2 linked regions of the Saccharomyces cerevisiae S288C genome follow. The protein of the gene in region 1 interacts with the protein of each later gene in a pairwise test. Each region holds a gene or a part of one and is shown in the gene's direction. Other genes may lie near its edges.

The links. Proteins that work in one complex are often made in the same cells at the same time.
Region 2: the proteins of JEN1 (region 1) and SOA1 interact in a protein complementation assay, tested with the Saccharomyces cerevisiae proteins (one large-scale study listed by BioGRID).

The regions. Positions count from the first base shown.
Region 1 is NC_001143.9:18,030-26,367, forward strand, and holds JEN1 (monocarboxylate/H+ symporter), read left to right. Parts: upstream 1-4,204; coding exon 4,205-6,055; downstream 6,056-8,338. Other genes in the region: threo-3-hydroxy-L-aspartate ammonia-lyase SRY1, read right to left, coding at 1-310; URA1 (dihydroorotate dehydrogenase), read left to right, coding at 7,186-8,130. UniProt on the Saccharomyces cerevisiae protein: Essential to lactate transport.
Region 2 is NC_001141.2:30,042-35,489, reverse strand, and holds SOA1 (Soa1p), read left to right. Parts: upstream 1-2,923; coding exon 2,924-4,552; downstream 4,553-5,448. Other genes in the region: NIT1 (Nit1p), read left to right, coding at 804-1,403; YIL165C (uncharacterized protein), read left to right, coding at 1,413-1,772.

The DNA.
Region 1 (8,338 bases):
CATCCTCGGGCATAACAATTGTTGCAGGTACATTTAATAGTTTTGCACTAAGAGCAATAGCCTGTGCATGGTTTCCTGATGAGAAGGCAATTACTCCCTTACTTCTTTTTTCATCACTTAATTTTGAAACAGCATTCATTGCTCCACGAAACTTGAACGCTCCCACTCGTTGGAAATTCTCACCTTTAAAGTATATTTGTGCTCCAAGTCGATCATTAAGCATTCGTGAAGTGAGAACCGGTGTTTTATTTACATATTCTTTAATTCTGTTGCTGGCATCCAAAACGTCTCCATAAGTGGGAACAATCATTTTTCCAACTCAATGAAAACTAAATATCTCGAACTATATTAATTATTTGTACTTTTTAAGTTTTTTTTCAATACTCCTTTATTTGAATTTTTGCAGAATGAAAATGTAACTCTTTATATTCCAAAGCTTATCTTTTTCTCACGTACCGTCCTATAGACCCTGATTTTATGATAAGAGGCTGAATTTACTAATTAGTCATTTTTTTCAGTTTTTTTGTCATAGAAGCCACATTTAAAAGAAGTCAGCCAAGTTACCTGTAAATATTAAAACAACCTGCTTAGAATGACTGTTAATTTACAGAATTTACGATAAAAATATAACTTGGCTCTAGGGCGTGATGATAGTGACAAAAAACTCGTCAAGTAAATGTTGGGAGCTTACTTGCCGTCGTTTTCTAACGCCAAAATACACGAATCATGTTTGGGAAATATAAGTGATTAGAACTTGTCCAAGGATATTGTCAAACAATAACATACTACAATAATCCTAGATCGTGTATTATTTGCGTATGGATAAATATACCTCAAGCTTTATGAGGCATAGAAAATTCATTAGAGTCACTACTTACGTCGCACTCTCGAGGATTGGAATGACGAAATCTTCTTCAGCATTTCACCATTCACCTTTTGAAGCTTCCTATCTCGTTGCTTAAGTAGAATGAAAGCATAGCAGCCCAAAAGAAAAGCCTCCCTCAGCAAGAATATTAACAAAGAACAATTCATGGACCGTTTCTACTACTTAATATCTCTATCACAACTGTCAGTCTCAATCAGTACTTAAATGACGCTGCAGAAAAAGATATCATTATTTTTATCATCCCCCTAATAAAATAAGTAATGAATCAATGCCATTAATTCGGGAACTAGTCATATACCTAAGGAATCAGGCTTTGATAGCTCTTTAATAATAATATTAGGGCATTTTTGATATGGTAAAAGATTAGATTAGGAAACCCCTTTTGTAGAGCATCTCACTACAATATCTGCAAAAACGGTCACCTTGCATAGGCAGAACACGCTACCTTTGAGTTAATTCACAGGGGAGAGCCCTTTTTTTTTCTTAGCAAAAGTGCTTAACAATCTTAATTTCTGGAATGTTTTCGGCGGATTGTTGTATATTGTTTGAATTTGTTCGTTCTAAAAAGTGAGACACCTGCACTTTCCACGCCAAGAACACTAATACCTTTAAACATGCCAGCGTACTTTAAAATGCCACGAGTCGCCCCGTACCAAACATGCTGGCGATTGTAATTTTTCGCCTTTTATTGGAATCGAGAATTCGGGCACTGTCCTTTTCTTCGTCATTTCAATGTTATAATCATTTTTATCGCCAAATTTTCTTCAATAAAAGGTCTCTTTTAAAATATGTTACTATGTTTTTTATTTTTCTATTATTTTTCTATGTGATTTTTCAGACGATTTATTCTTTGTTCGAAGGAGAACAGATGCAACGGTCAAGTTTTTACTATCCACATGAGGAGCCGTAATATTCTAAAGGCAAAAGCATGTGTGCTTGTAAAAAAAAATCAAAAAAAGTTACTGCTCCAAGCCAGCAAGCTTTCTCTTTTGCGAAATCTTTAACACGGTTAAAATCAAAGACAATTACTTCATTGACAAGGTCAATGCTAATATTTACGGTCTCCGCACGAAAGACTCTGAAAAATGTTAAAATTTATAGTGGCTAATGCTAATTCAAGAATAGTCTCGGGTTGTTTGATCACATTATTTTAATTTTTATTGAGCACTGAATAGGACCCGTATGTTCCAATCAGTCTATTTCTTGCAACTTAATCTGGTTTGTTTTTAGGGGAGTGGCATTTTTTTTAGGGTTATTCAAATATTCAATTCTGTAATTTGCTTACGACAAAAAGAAAAGGAGAGATGAAAAAAGGGCGACGGGTATAATCTATTCAGCCGCCAATGTCCCGACGTATGCCAAAATGTGGTGCCGCGGTAACAGTAGCATCACACAGAGCATGAGAAAAGCAAGAAAAGTGGAAGTCTGTATGTCACATTTTTATTGAAAATGCTATTTGCTATAAGGTTCGCTATTCAACTGATTGAACCGAGATAGACAAAATGTTAAACTTTTCATAGAGACGTTATTGTGATAGGGTTTACGCTGAGAATGGTTGAAACATACTTGCTAATAAACCACGTCACGTCAAAATATCAGTTTTTCTTTTTTAGTTATTCCCTTCTCACTTTTGACTTGAGATGAGATCGTTACACTTTTATTGAATACGAACGGATCACGATACATCCACATATACGAATGTTCGGCCAGACAGGGCATCAGAGTATATACCCTTTTTCCTAAAATGGAAGGGCCCTAGATCGTTGGCATCAGCGGTTACCTAACCGAAGTGGATCAAATCAGCGCCTATTTTTCCGTTTAGAACGATTAGATGCCGTCAATATGTATGTGCTTACTGTATCATCCACGTAGTAAAGCTGGGGCGTAGCATCCCTAGGTTACTTTCTCAATACTGGGGTCCCTGACCAAAGATAAAACATAACCTATTATGGCGTACGAGTCAAAGTTAAACGCTATTTGACTCGGGCAGCATGCATGACCCGGGGGAATGGAAAACTTCTCATGGCTACCCCAACGAAGCCAGACAAGATCTAGGAGATGTCTCCACCTTCCGAGCTACACTCTCACATCTCTTACATAGACACTGTGAAGTAAGTGATTGCACACAATCCAAAGAAGCACATCAAATAATATGTAAATATTACCCGTACAAATGGCAAATCATGTCCACTTTCCCGTTAGTCATCGGGTGGGCCGGTCCTCGCACTTTCCTTTTGTTTCGGATGTTAATTAATATATAAATGGATCTATAATTTTCAAAAGGTATAAACGCACAGTATGAAAAATATTGCAAGAATAATGTGTTTATAAATTATTTTTTTTGCTGGTAGCAAAATCAACTCATTGTCTTCCATTCAGAGTCTAATCGAACGTTATCGCAATGCTTGCACACTTTTAAACAATACGATTTAGTTTAAGTGGATGGACCCCCACGCTTAGTGTTCCACAGGTTTGTCCCCACTGTTTTTACATTCCACTGTACATTTTTGCAATAGAAGGTCATTGTATGCTACCTTGGGCGGCTAAGAATACCTGTAAAAATTTGGAGAAATTAGATTCGTAAAGAATGACTCGCAACGACTCCAATGATTTCTTCTTTTCACCCTTTGAACGGCCGATATCCGCGCGGGATCCTGACCCCGCAATTTACTCCACTAGACCGGCGTGTTTCTCTTTTTCCTTTTCCTGGGGTTAGAGCCCAAGAGCTAATAGCCGACAAACGGACTCCAAAAAAAAAAGGAGGCACAGGACAAACGCAGCACCTGCGTCATTCACGCTGAAGCGGCAGCAAGCATTTTCGATCAGCTCCAATTAAATGAAGACTATTCGCCGTACCGTTCCCAGATGGGTGCGAAAGTCAGTGATCGAGGAAGTTATTGAGCGCGCGGCTTGAAACTATTTCTCCATCTCAGAGCCGCCAAGCCTACCATTATTCTCCACCAGGAAGTTAGTTTGTAAGCTTCTGCACACCATCCGGACGTCCATAATTCTTCACTTAACGGTCTTTTGCCCCCCCTTCTACTATAATGCATTAGAACGTTACCTGGTCATTTGGATGGAGATCTAAGTAACACTTACTATCTCCTATGGTACTATCCTTTACCAAAAAAAAAAAAAAAAAAAAAAAAAAAAAAATCAGCAAAGTGAAGTACCCTCTTGATGTATAAATACATTGCACATCATTGTTGAGAAATAGTTTTGGAAGTTGTCTAGTCCTTCTCCCTTAGATCTAAAAGGAAGAAGAGTAACAGTTTCAAAAGTTTTTCCTCAAAGAGATTAAATACTGCTACTGAAAATATGTCGTCGTCAATTACAGATGAGAAAATATCTGGTGAACAGCAACAACCTGCTGGCAGAAAACTATACTATAACACAAGTACATTTGCAGAGCCTCCTCTAGTGGACGGAGAAGGTAACCCTATAAATTATGAGCCGGAAGTTTACAACCCGGATCACGAAAAGCTATACCATAACCCATCACTGCCTGCACAATCAATTCAGGATACAAGAGATGATGAATTGCTGGAAAGAGTTTATAGCCAGGATCAAGGTGTAGAGTATGAGGAAGATGAAGAGGATAAGCCAAACCTAAGCGCTGCGTCCATTAAAAGTTATGCTTTAACGAGATTTACGTCCTTACTGCACATCCACGAGTTTTCTTGGGAGAATGTCAATCCCATACCCGAACTGCGCAAAATGACATGGCAGAATTGGAACTATTTTTTTATGGGTTATTTTGCGTGGTTGTCTGCGGCTTGGGCCTTCTTTTGCGTTTCAGTATCAGTCGCTCCATTGGCTGAACTATATGACAGACCAACCAAGGACATCACCTGGGGGTTGGGATTGGTGTTATTTGTTCGTTCAGCAGGTGCTGTCATATTTGGTTTATGGACAGATAAGTCTTCCAGAAAGTGGCCGTACATTACATGTTTGTTCTTATTTGTCATTGCACAACTCTGTACTCCATGGTGTGACACATACGAGAAATTTCTGGGCGTAAGGTGGATAACCGGTATTGCTATGGGAGGAATTTACGGATGTGCTTCTGCAACAGCGATTGAAGATGCACCTGTGAAAGCACGTTCGTTCCTATCAGGTCTATTTTTTTCTGCTTACGCTATGGGGTTCATATTTGCTATCATTTTTTACAGAGCCTTTGGCTACTTTAGGGATGATGGCTGGAAAATATTGTTTTGGTTTAGTATTTTTCTACCAATTCTACTAATTTTCTGGAGATTGTTATGGCCTGAAACGAAATACTTCACCAAGGTTTTGAAAGCCCGTAAATTAATATTGAGTGACGCAGTGAAAGCTAATGGTGGCGAGCCTCTACCAAAAGCCAACTTTAAACAAAAGATGGTATCCATGAAGAGAACAGTTCAAAAGTACTGGTTGTTGTTCGCATATTTGGTTGTTTTATTGGTGGGTCCAAATTACTTGACTCATGCTTCTCAAGACTTGTTGCCAACCATGCTGCGTGCCCAATTAGGCCTATCCAAGGATGCTGTCACTGTCATTGTAGTGGTTACCAACATCGGTGCTATTTGTGGGGGTATGATATTTGGACAGTTCATGGAAGTTACTGGAAGAAGATTAGGCCTATTGATTGCATGCACAATGGGTGGTTGCTTCACCTACCCTGCATTTATGTTGAGAAGCGAAAAGGCTATATTAGGTGCCGGTTTCATGTTATATTTTTGTGTCTTTGGTGTCTGGGGTATCCTGCCCATTCACCTTGCAGAGTTGGCCCCTGCTGATGCAAGGGCTTTGGTTGCCGGTTTATCTTACCAGCTAGGTAATCTAGCTTCTGCAGCGGCTTCCACGATTGAGACACAGTTAGCTGATAGATACCCATTAGAAAGAGATGCCTCTGGTGCTGTGATTAAAGAAGATTATGCCAAAGTTATGGCTATCTTGACTGGTTCTGTTTTCATCTTCACATTTGCTTGTGTTTTTGTTGGCCATGAGAAATTCCATCGTGATTTGTCCTCTCCTGTTATGAAGAAATATATAAACCAAGTGGAAGAATACGAAGCCGATGGTCTTTCGATTAGTGACATTGTTGAACAAAAGACGGAATGTGCTTCAGTGAAGATGATTGATTCGAACGTCTCAAAGACATATGAGGAGCATATTGAGACCGTTTAATCACTTTTCATTGCTCTCTAGGGCGTGTTCGCTTCTCTATGTAACTGCATTTCACATATATTCATATTATAGCCTTTATAACATTACATAAAAGACATGATATACGACATACTTTAAAGTTAGAATTTTTGTTGTATTAATTTTCTCGAAGGGATTAGAATGTAAGTACATTTAAATAGCGCCGCAAGAAACATAACAGCCGTTAACACTAGCAAGATGGTAGATTACTGTGTCTAAGAATTTAAATTGTTTTGCTTGCTTTTGCCACTATAAGACAATAATAGTAATAGAAAAGAAATGTTAGTCGAACAGCAAATTGGTAAAAGTGGAAAAAATTATTTCGTTATTCATTTTAGGCCGTTCAGAAATATAGCATTTTGGTTCTTGCACTGAATGGGCCCTGAGGACAGTGTGCGGCTGGATAGCCATATACTTCGACATTACTTTTCACCTTTGAAGGGGGATGTATGCTTATACACAATCAAAGCTCGGCCTGTGCAGGTTTCACTACATAAGCTTTTTTACCATAGAAATCTTGCAGAAGGAAGTAAGTATCAAGATATTACGTATCGCATCCATAGAACGATAGCAGAAAAATGCAGTATATGATAACGATATGCTTCACAGCTGCGGCCCATTTGGGGAAAAAAGGAAAAGGAGCATCCTCGATCTTACAGATGTCGCTTTTTCCTCTTGAGGTCATTCCCTAACCTTGGATCCAAGTCAATCTGGTATCTTCCCACCCTAAATAGTGTATTCCCCATGTAATAAGATCGGACGATAAACTTCGAAACAATTCTAGCCTTTTTTATTAGATATTTACTCTACTTTAGATTTGGTGATTTTACTAAATGTTATCCTTCAGCCACTACAGCCTACTTTTTCTCACTAATATGTTCTTGAAGCCATTTTCTTCACCGGGCTTTGCCGAAGGTTATTTCACGATCTTCGGCATTCGCCGAAAATTTTTCAAGATGCCCATCACCAAAAAATAAAAAAAGCTTTATATATGGCATGGCATACGCATCGGGAACCGGTATTCTTCTCTTGGATTACACAGTTTGGACTACTAGACGTTTCAAATAGATATACACAATTACTCAAAAAAAAATTGAACTTCCGTACCAAACATGACAGCCAGTTTAACTACCAAGTTCTTGAACAATACCTATGAAAACCCATTTATGAATGCATCCGGTGTTCATTGCATGACTACACAAGAATTAGATGAATTAGCAAACTCTAAAGCTGGCGCATTCATTACAAAGAGTGCTACAACCTTAGAAAGAGAAGGTAACCCTGAACCACGTTACATTTCTGTCCCTCTAGGCAGTATCAACTCCATGGGTTTACCAAACGAAGGTATCGACTACTATTTGTCCTATGTATTAAACCGTCAAAAGAATTATCCTGATGCACCTGCTATTTTCTTCTCAGTTGCTGGTATGAGCATTGATGAAAATTTAAATTTGTTGAGGAAAATCCAAGATAGCGAATTCAACGGTATTACCGAGTTAAACTTGTCTTGTCCTAATGTGCCTGGGAAACCACAAGTTGCTTATGACTTTGACTTGACAAAGGAAACCTTGGAAAAGGTTTTTGCCTTTTTCAAAAAACCTCTTGGTGTCAAGTTGCCTCCTTATTTTGATTTTGCCCATTTTGATATCATGGCAAAAATATTGAACGAGTTCCCATTAGCTTATGTCAACTCTATCAATAGTATAGGAAATGGTCTTTTCATTGATGTGGAGAAGGAGAGTGTAGTAGTGAAGCCAAAGAATGGTTTCGGGGGTATTGGAGGTGAATATGTTAAGCCAACCGCGCTCGCCAATGTTCGTGCATTTTACACTCGTTTGAGACCTGAAATCAAAGTTATCGGTACAGGTGGAATTAAGTCCGGTAAGGATGCATTTGAACATCTTCTATGTGGTGCCTCTATGCTACAGATTGGTACAGAATTACAAAAAGAGGGCGTCAAGATTTTTGAACGTATCGAAAAAGAATTAAAAGACATAATGGAAGCTAAGGGTTATACATCCATAGATCAGTTCCGTGGGAAGTTGAACAGCATTTAATTATCGGAATTTGAAGAACTATGATGGGACAAGTTATGGAAGAGTGTTAAGATTCGTATGAATATTTTATTATTTTGAAATTGCATAAATCAAGGATAGTTGGTAAATGCTAATTCCTTAATTTTTCGGTGAGTGCATTCGCAATTGGCATCATACATTAGGGTTCAATGTGCTTTAATAGATGATGATACTAAATACTTATACTTTG
Region 2 (5,448 bases), on another chromosome or scaffold:
ATAAAAGTTGGTAGTGCTCGAGCTTTTCTTTCTATACCAATAAATGCTGCAAAATATTATAATCTAATTAGTACTGAAGTAACTCTAGCAAAGCACAGGTGACAAAATTTGTGCTGGTGATTGTTGGTACTGCTATCGCCAGAATAGTCGAGATGTTTGCATGTATCGACTGCTATGCGCGTAAGAAATTGGAATTTTGTATGGATAACTATGGCCGACCACTGCACCTAGCAACAGTGAAGAACTCGTTTATCGAGAGACGAGTGTCGAGATAACAGATATGACAATTAGATTATGTAGCCGAAACCATATATTAGAGCCAGTAGTTGTTTGATCATAGCTTGATTTTCATTAATTATCAGTCCTCTTCCGTGTAGTGCCTTTTTTCTTCTGCAAGCGAACTTTTTACAGATGGAAGTTCGATAACAGAGGAAAAAGGCGAAAGGTGGTTACTTGAAACATGGTGTATCTTAAAAACCGCTCGAAATTATAGAGGTGAAATTACAAGTTACTTGCGGTTCGATAAGCAAACGCATTTACGCTTATACTTTGGAGCCACATTTCACTATGAACGCCACATTATATTAATCCCACCGCGATTTGAAAACGGTTATCAGTAAAGTTGGCCTAATGCTTACGAAATATGAGCTATCTTTTTTGCTTCGTAAAAAAAATGGAGCCCAGGCCTCCGTGACTCATAAAGGGCAGTGTATATAAATAATAAAAGCTCTTCAATAAGAAAGGGTGATATTATGACTTAGGGTTAGCCAATCACTTTTCGAGGCTACCTCTAGTTAACCACAATGGCGAAACACATTGTTGCTGCCCTTCAAATCGGCTCTTGTCCGGGCTCTACTAAGGATACCTTGAAAAAAATTTTGTCATATGAGAAGGAGATCAAGGAATCTGGTGCCAAGTTGGTCGTTATCCCAGAAGCCACTCTTGGTGGTTATCCAAAGGGATCGAACTTTGGGGTTTATCTAGGCTACCGTCTTCAAGAAGGAAGGGAGGAGTATGCTAAGTATCTTGCCGAAGCAATTGAGATCGGAAACGGAGAGAAATATCCAGAAATTAGTCAGTTGTGCGCACTATCGAAGGCCACCGACGCATCCTTATGTGTGGGGTGTATAGAGCGCGATGGGACGACATTATATTGTACCATGGTTTATATAGATCCTAAAGATGGCTACGTTGGGAAGCATCGAAAACTGATGCCGACAGCTGGCGAAAGACTGATATGGGGTCAAGGCGATGGTTCGACTCTGCCTGTCGTGGATACCGCTGCTGGGAAGATTGGCGGTGCTATCTGCTGGGAGAACATGATGCCTCTACTGAGATACGCCATGTATAAAAAAGGGGTTGAGATCTGGTGTGCCCCAACGGTGGATGCTAGGCCTATTTAGAGGACTGTGATGAAAAATATTGCATACGAAGGTCGTCTATTCTTGATTAGTGCAGTGCAGTTCATGCCAGATGCGACAGCAATGGGCTTTGGGGAGATTATTGACCAAGCTACAGGTAAGAGAAAATTACCTGGATGGCCATCTGCTGACGACAACTGTATTAATGGAGGTAGTGTTATTATTGATCCTTATGGAGAGATTATTGCAGGGCCATTGCTAGGGCAGGAGGGCCTTTTAACCGCCGAAATTAACACTGACTTGATTGCTGAAGCTCGCTTTGATCTTGACCCTGTCGGACATTATGCTAGGGGAGATGTCTTCCAGTTGACTGTCAATGAAAGGTCACACGATGTCAAGTTTACGAAATGAATACCGCATAAATCCATTAACTAGGCTTTCATGAATGGTGGCTCGAAAATATTCGTTAATATCAATATGTCTGTTATATAATGTTTTATGTACAAGAGATAATGTAGATCTGTAATATTCAATCAAATAGGCATTTGTTTGAAATCCATACGTCTCTAAGATATAATCCAAGCCATGATTTTGAAATCAGGATCGCAAACCTGATCATTTAATTTTTACCTTTTTTTAAAATATAAATTAACATTTATTAATAAATAGGTGTATTTGAGAAGTTTCATTTTCGTTCAACAGCCCAGTTATCATCATTTCACAAACAAGAAGGAGATATTAGCATTTTCTCCCGGATCCGATTAACACAGTTTTTTTGTTTAATCCGGTGTGAAGAAGATTTATAAATGTCGTGATATTTTTTAATGTGGAGATTGTACGATGACGGGTAGGAGTCAAGACAAGCTAAAGAATGCAGCCTTAATAATTGCGCCTTTCACAATCAAAATTATGCATTGACCCGATACAAGAATCACCGTGTGGATCAAGCCATTCTTACCAAGCTTACTTTTGCCGTCGCCAAGGCTGTTTGTAGTCATTCTCTGAACTTTTTTCCTTGGCATTCGGCTCGACGCAGAGAATTTCGGATCGATATAATCCCGAAATAGTCCGTTTCTCGGATAATTGTGCCGAAATGCATCATATTACAACGTACTATCTTGAATTGCTAGCATTCTCGTAAGAAAGAAAAACCTCGAGCAAATAGGCTACATTTGCTGCTGCACCCCTTTACAGCACAAAGTCGTTGCAGCTAGCTCCTTAAAATAAGGACCCTGCAGTCATGTGGCATATATAATAGTTGGCGAAGCTTGAAGCCTCACTTAGAGGTTGACGCCTCACTTGAGGTTTCAACATATACTGATGGTTTCATTTCAACAGCCTATGGGTCAATTGGGAATAACTATCAATGCTACCAATTTGTCACACTTTATTGCCTAATAGGTTTGGCGCTTACTATCAAATACATGACGTATTCCCTGCGCTAGGTTCGTCTTCTACTGAATCATTTAGTATAAAAAGGCAGCGTTCAATTGTTGATTATTGAAATTATTTATTGTACAAACAATTAATAAAAAATTCAATCAACAAACAAAGTTTCATCTATGTCCGTACAAAAAGAAGAATACGATATTGTAGAAAAGGCCCAATTATCTGTGTCCGCAGAAAGCTTAACATCAGATTCGGAGAGTATTTCACATAACCCATTTGACGATTTTCATAAAGCAGAGCGTTGGAGAAAAGTCTATGAATCCAGTGGTTATGAAGGCTTGTCTAAATTCGATCCTGAGTTTACATGGACAAAGGATGAGGAAAAGAAATTGGTAAGAAAAATGGACTTGAAGATTTTTTTGTGGGTTTTTATTATGTTTGCCTTTTTGGATTTAATAAGGAAAAATATTGCAAGGGCAGTTTCAGACAACTTCATTGTTGACTTGAAAATGAACACGAACGACTACAACCTTGGCCAAACTGTTTATCTAGTTATATTTCTAGCAAGTGAACTACCCGGCAATCTGCTGTCCAAAAGATTTGGTCCAGAAAGGGTCATTCCGGTTCAAATTGTGTTGTGGAGTGTAATTTGTATTACTCAAGCTGGTCTGAAAAATCGAGGTCAATTTATTGCTACTAGATGCTTATTAGGAATGGTACAGGGCGGGTTCATCCCGGACAATATTCTATACTTGTCATATTATTATACTGGAGCTGAGCTCACATTCCGCCTAAGTTTCTTTTGGTGTGCTATACCTCTTTTCCAAATTTTAGGCTCTCTTTTAGCTTCCGGAATCATAGAGATGAGGGGTATTCATAACTTAGCTGGCTGGCAGTACCTATTTATAATTGAAGGGTTTCTGTCCCTTTCTGTTGGCGTGGCATCCTTTTATTTAATGCGTAGAGGACCTACGCAAACTGGTGAGTCTGCATTTCACAAAGGAAAATCGTTATTCACTGAGTATGAGGAGAAAATTATGGTTAACAGAATTTTAAGGGATGACCCATCAAAGGGTGACATGAGTAACCGACAACCAGTTACCTTCAAGGAGATTTTGTACACTCTAACAGAATTTGATCTATGGCCATTGTTTATCCAAGGTATTACAGCATTCATATCTCTTCAAACAGTTGGTTCCTATTTATCTTTGATATTAAAGAGTTTAAATTACTCTACATTTCTTTCGAACATTTTAGCAATTCCAGGCCAAGCCCTGCTGCTAATAAATTTACCATTAGCGGCACTATTATCGCGTAAATTGAAAGAAAAATCACTTTGTGTGGGAATTGCCAACGTTTGGGTGCTCCCTTTCATAGTTTCTCTGGTCGCTTTACCGACTGACACAAACCCCTGGATCAAGTATATATTACTAACCGGTATACTTGGTCTTCCCTATACACATTCCATTCTTGCTGGTTGGGTCTCCGAGATTTCAAATTCGGTAAGATCGCGTACAGTGGGCACAGCGTTATACAATATGAGTGCCCAAGTTGGAGCAATCATTGCTTCTAACATGTATAGAAATGATGATAAACCTTACTATACTAGAGGTAACAAAATACTTCTAGGATTCACTTGCTTCAACATTTGTATGGCTGTTGCTACTAAGTTTTACTATATTAGTAGGAATAAATACAAGGACCGCAAATGGAACTCTATGACAAAAGAAGAGCAGATCAATTACTTGGACACAACTAAAGATAAGGGAATGAAGCGTCTTGATTATAGGTTTATTCACTAGATTAAGTTTTCGTGTATTAAAATTTTTGCTGTTAGAGTAATGCTACACGCAAAAGCGAGAAGTCATACATCAAAAAAAATTATTACACCAGAGCAACAAAAGGTTAATGCAAAAACTTTTTTTTTTCGAGTTTTTAAGGTAAAGGTCATGGGATGTTATTGCTTTTTAGTAGTTTTGCACTGCTATACCACAAAAGCAGGTGACAGCAATTGTGTGTTCACGGAAACAAAAAAAAGTTTTTGAACATAATAACACCAAAATCTTCGGTAATTGATATCAAAATACAATGACCAATTGTAAATATTCCTCTGAACCAGCCTAATGCTTCTCAAATAATCCCCAAGCACACAAATATTCTATGTAGGAGCTCACAGGTCAACGCGCTAAGCTACCGATGTTACCTTACATTCATAAGGTGTCATCTGTTTATGCTGTTTGCAGATAACCTTCATTTGTGATCTCTTGCAACTTTCTTATCTCAAGATTTCACAATATTCCGCGTGAATCGTAGAATTAATTTCTACATTCATATGTAAATAAAATTTTCTTTACTACTCTCCGAATTATACTAGTTAATTCTTTCTTCTACATATTAGTAATATCAATATACACTCTTTTTTATTGATTTTTTTATAAATTATTATGGCATAGCATAGCTTCAGCGTTACTATCCGCTTAACATTTCTCATCTACCAAGCTACTTGCAGGAGCTTCATCCTAGGTGCTTAATTGCTTTAATACTGTAGTATCAGTAGATTGAATTTCCAGACCACCATCCAATAAAAAGACTAGAACGAAAAAAAATGAAACACATCTTAATAAGTCCGAACGTACATAGATAGATCGCGATCCATTTCTATTGCTCTAAGATCGCGTGTGTATTTGAAAATTATGAT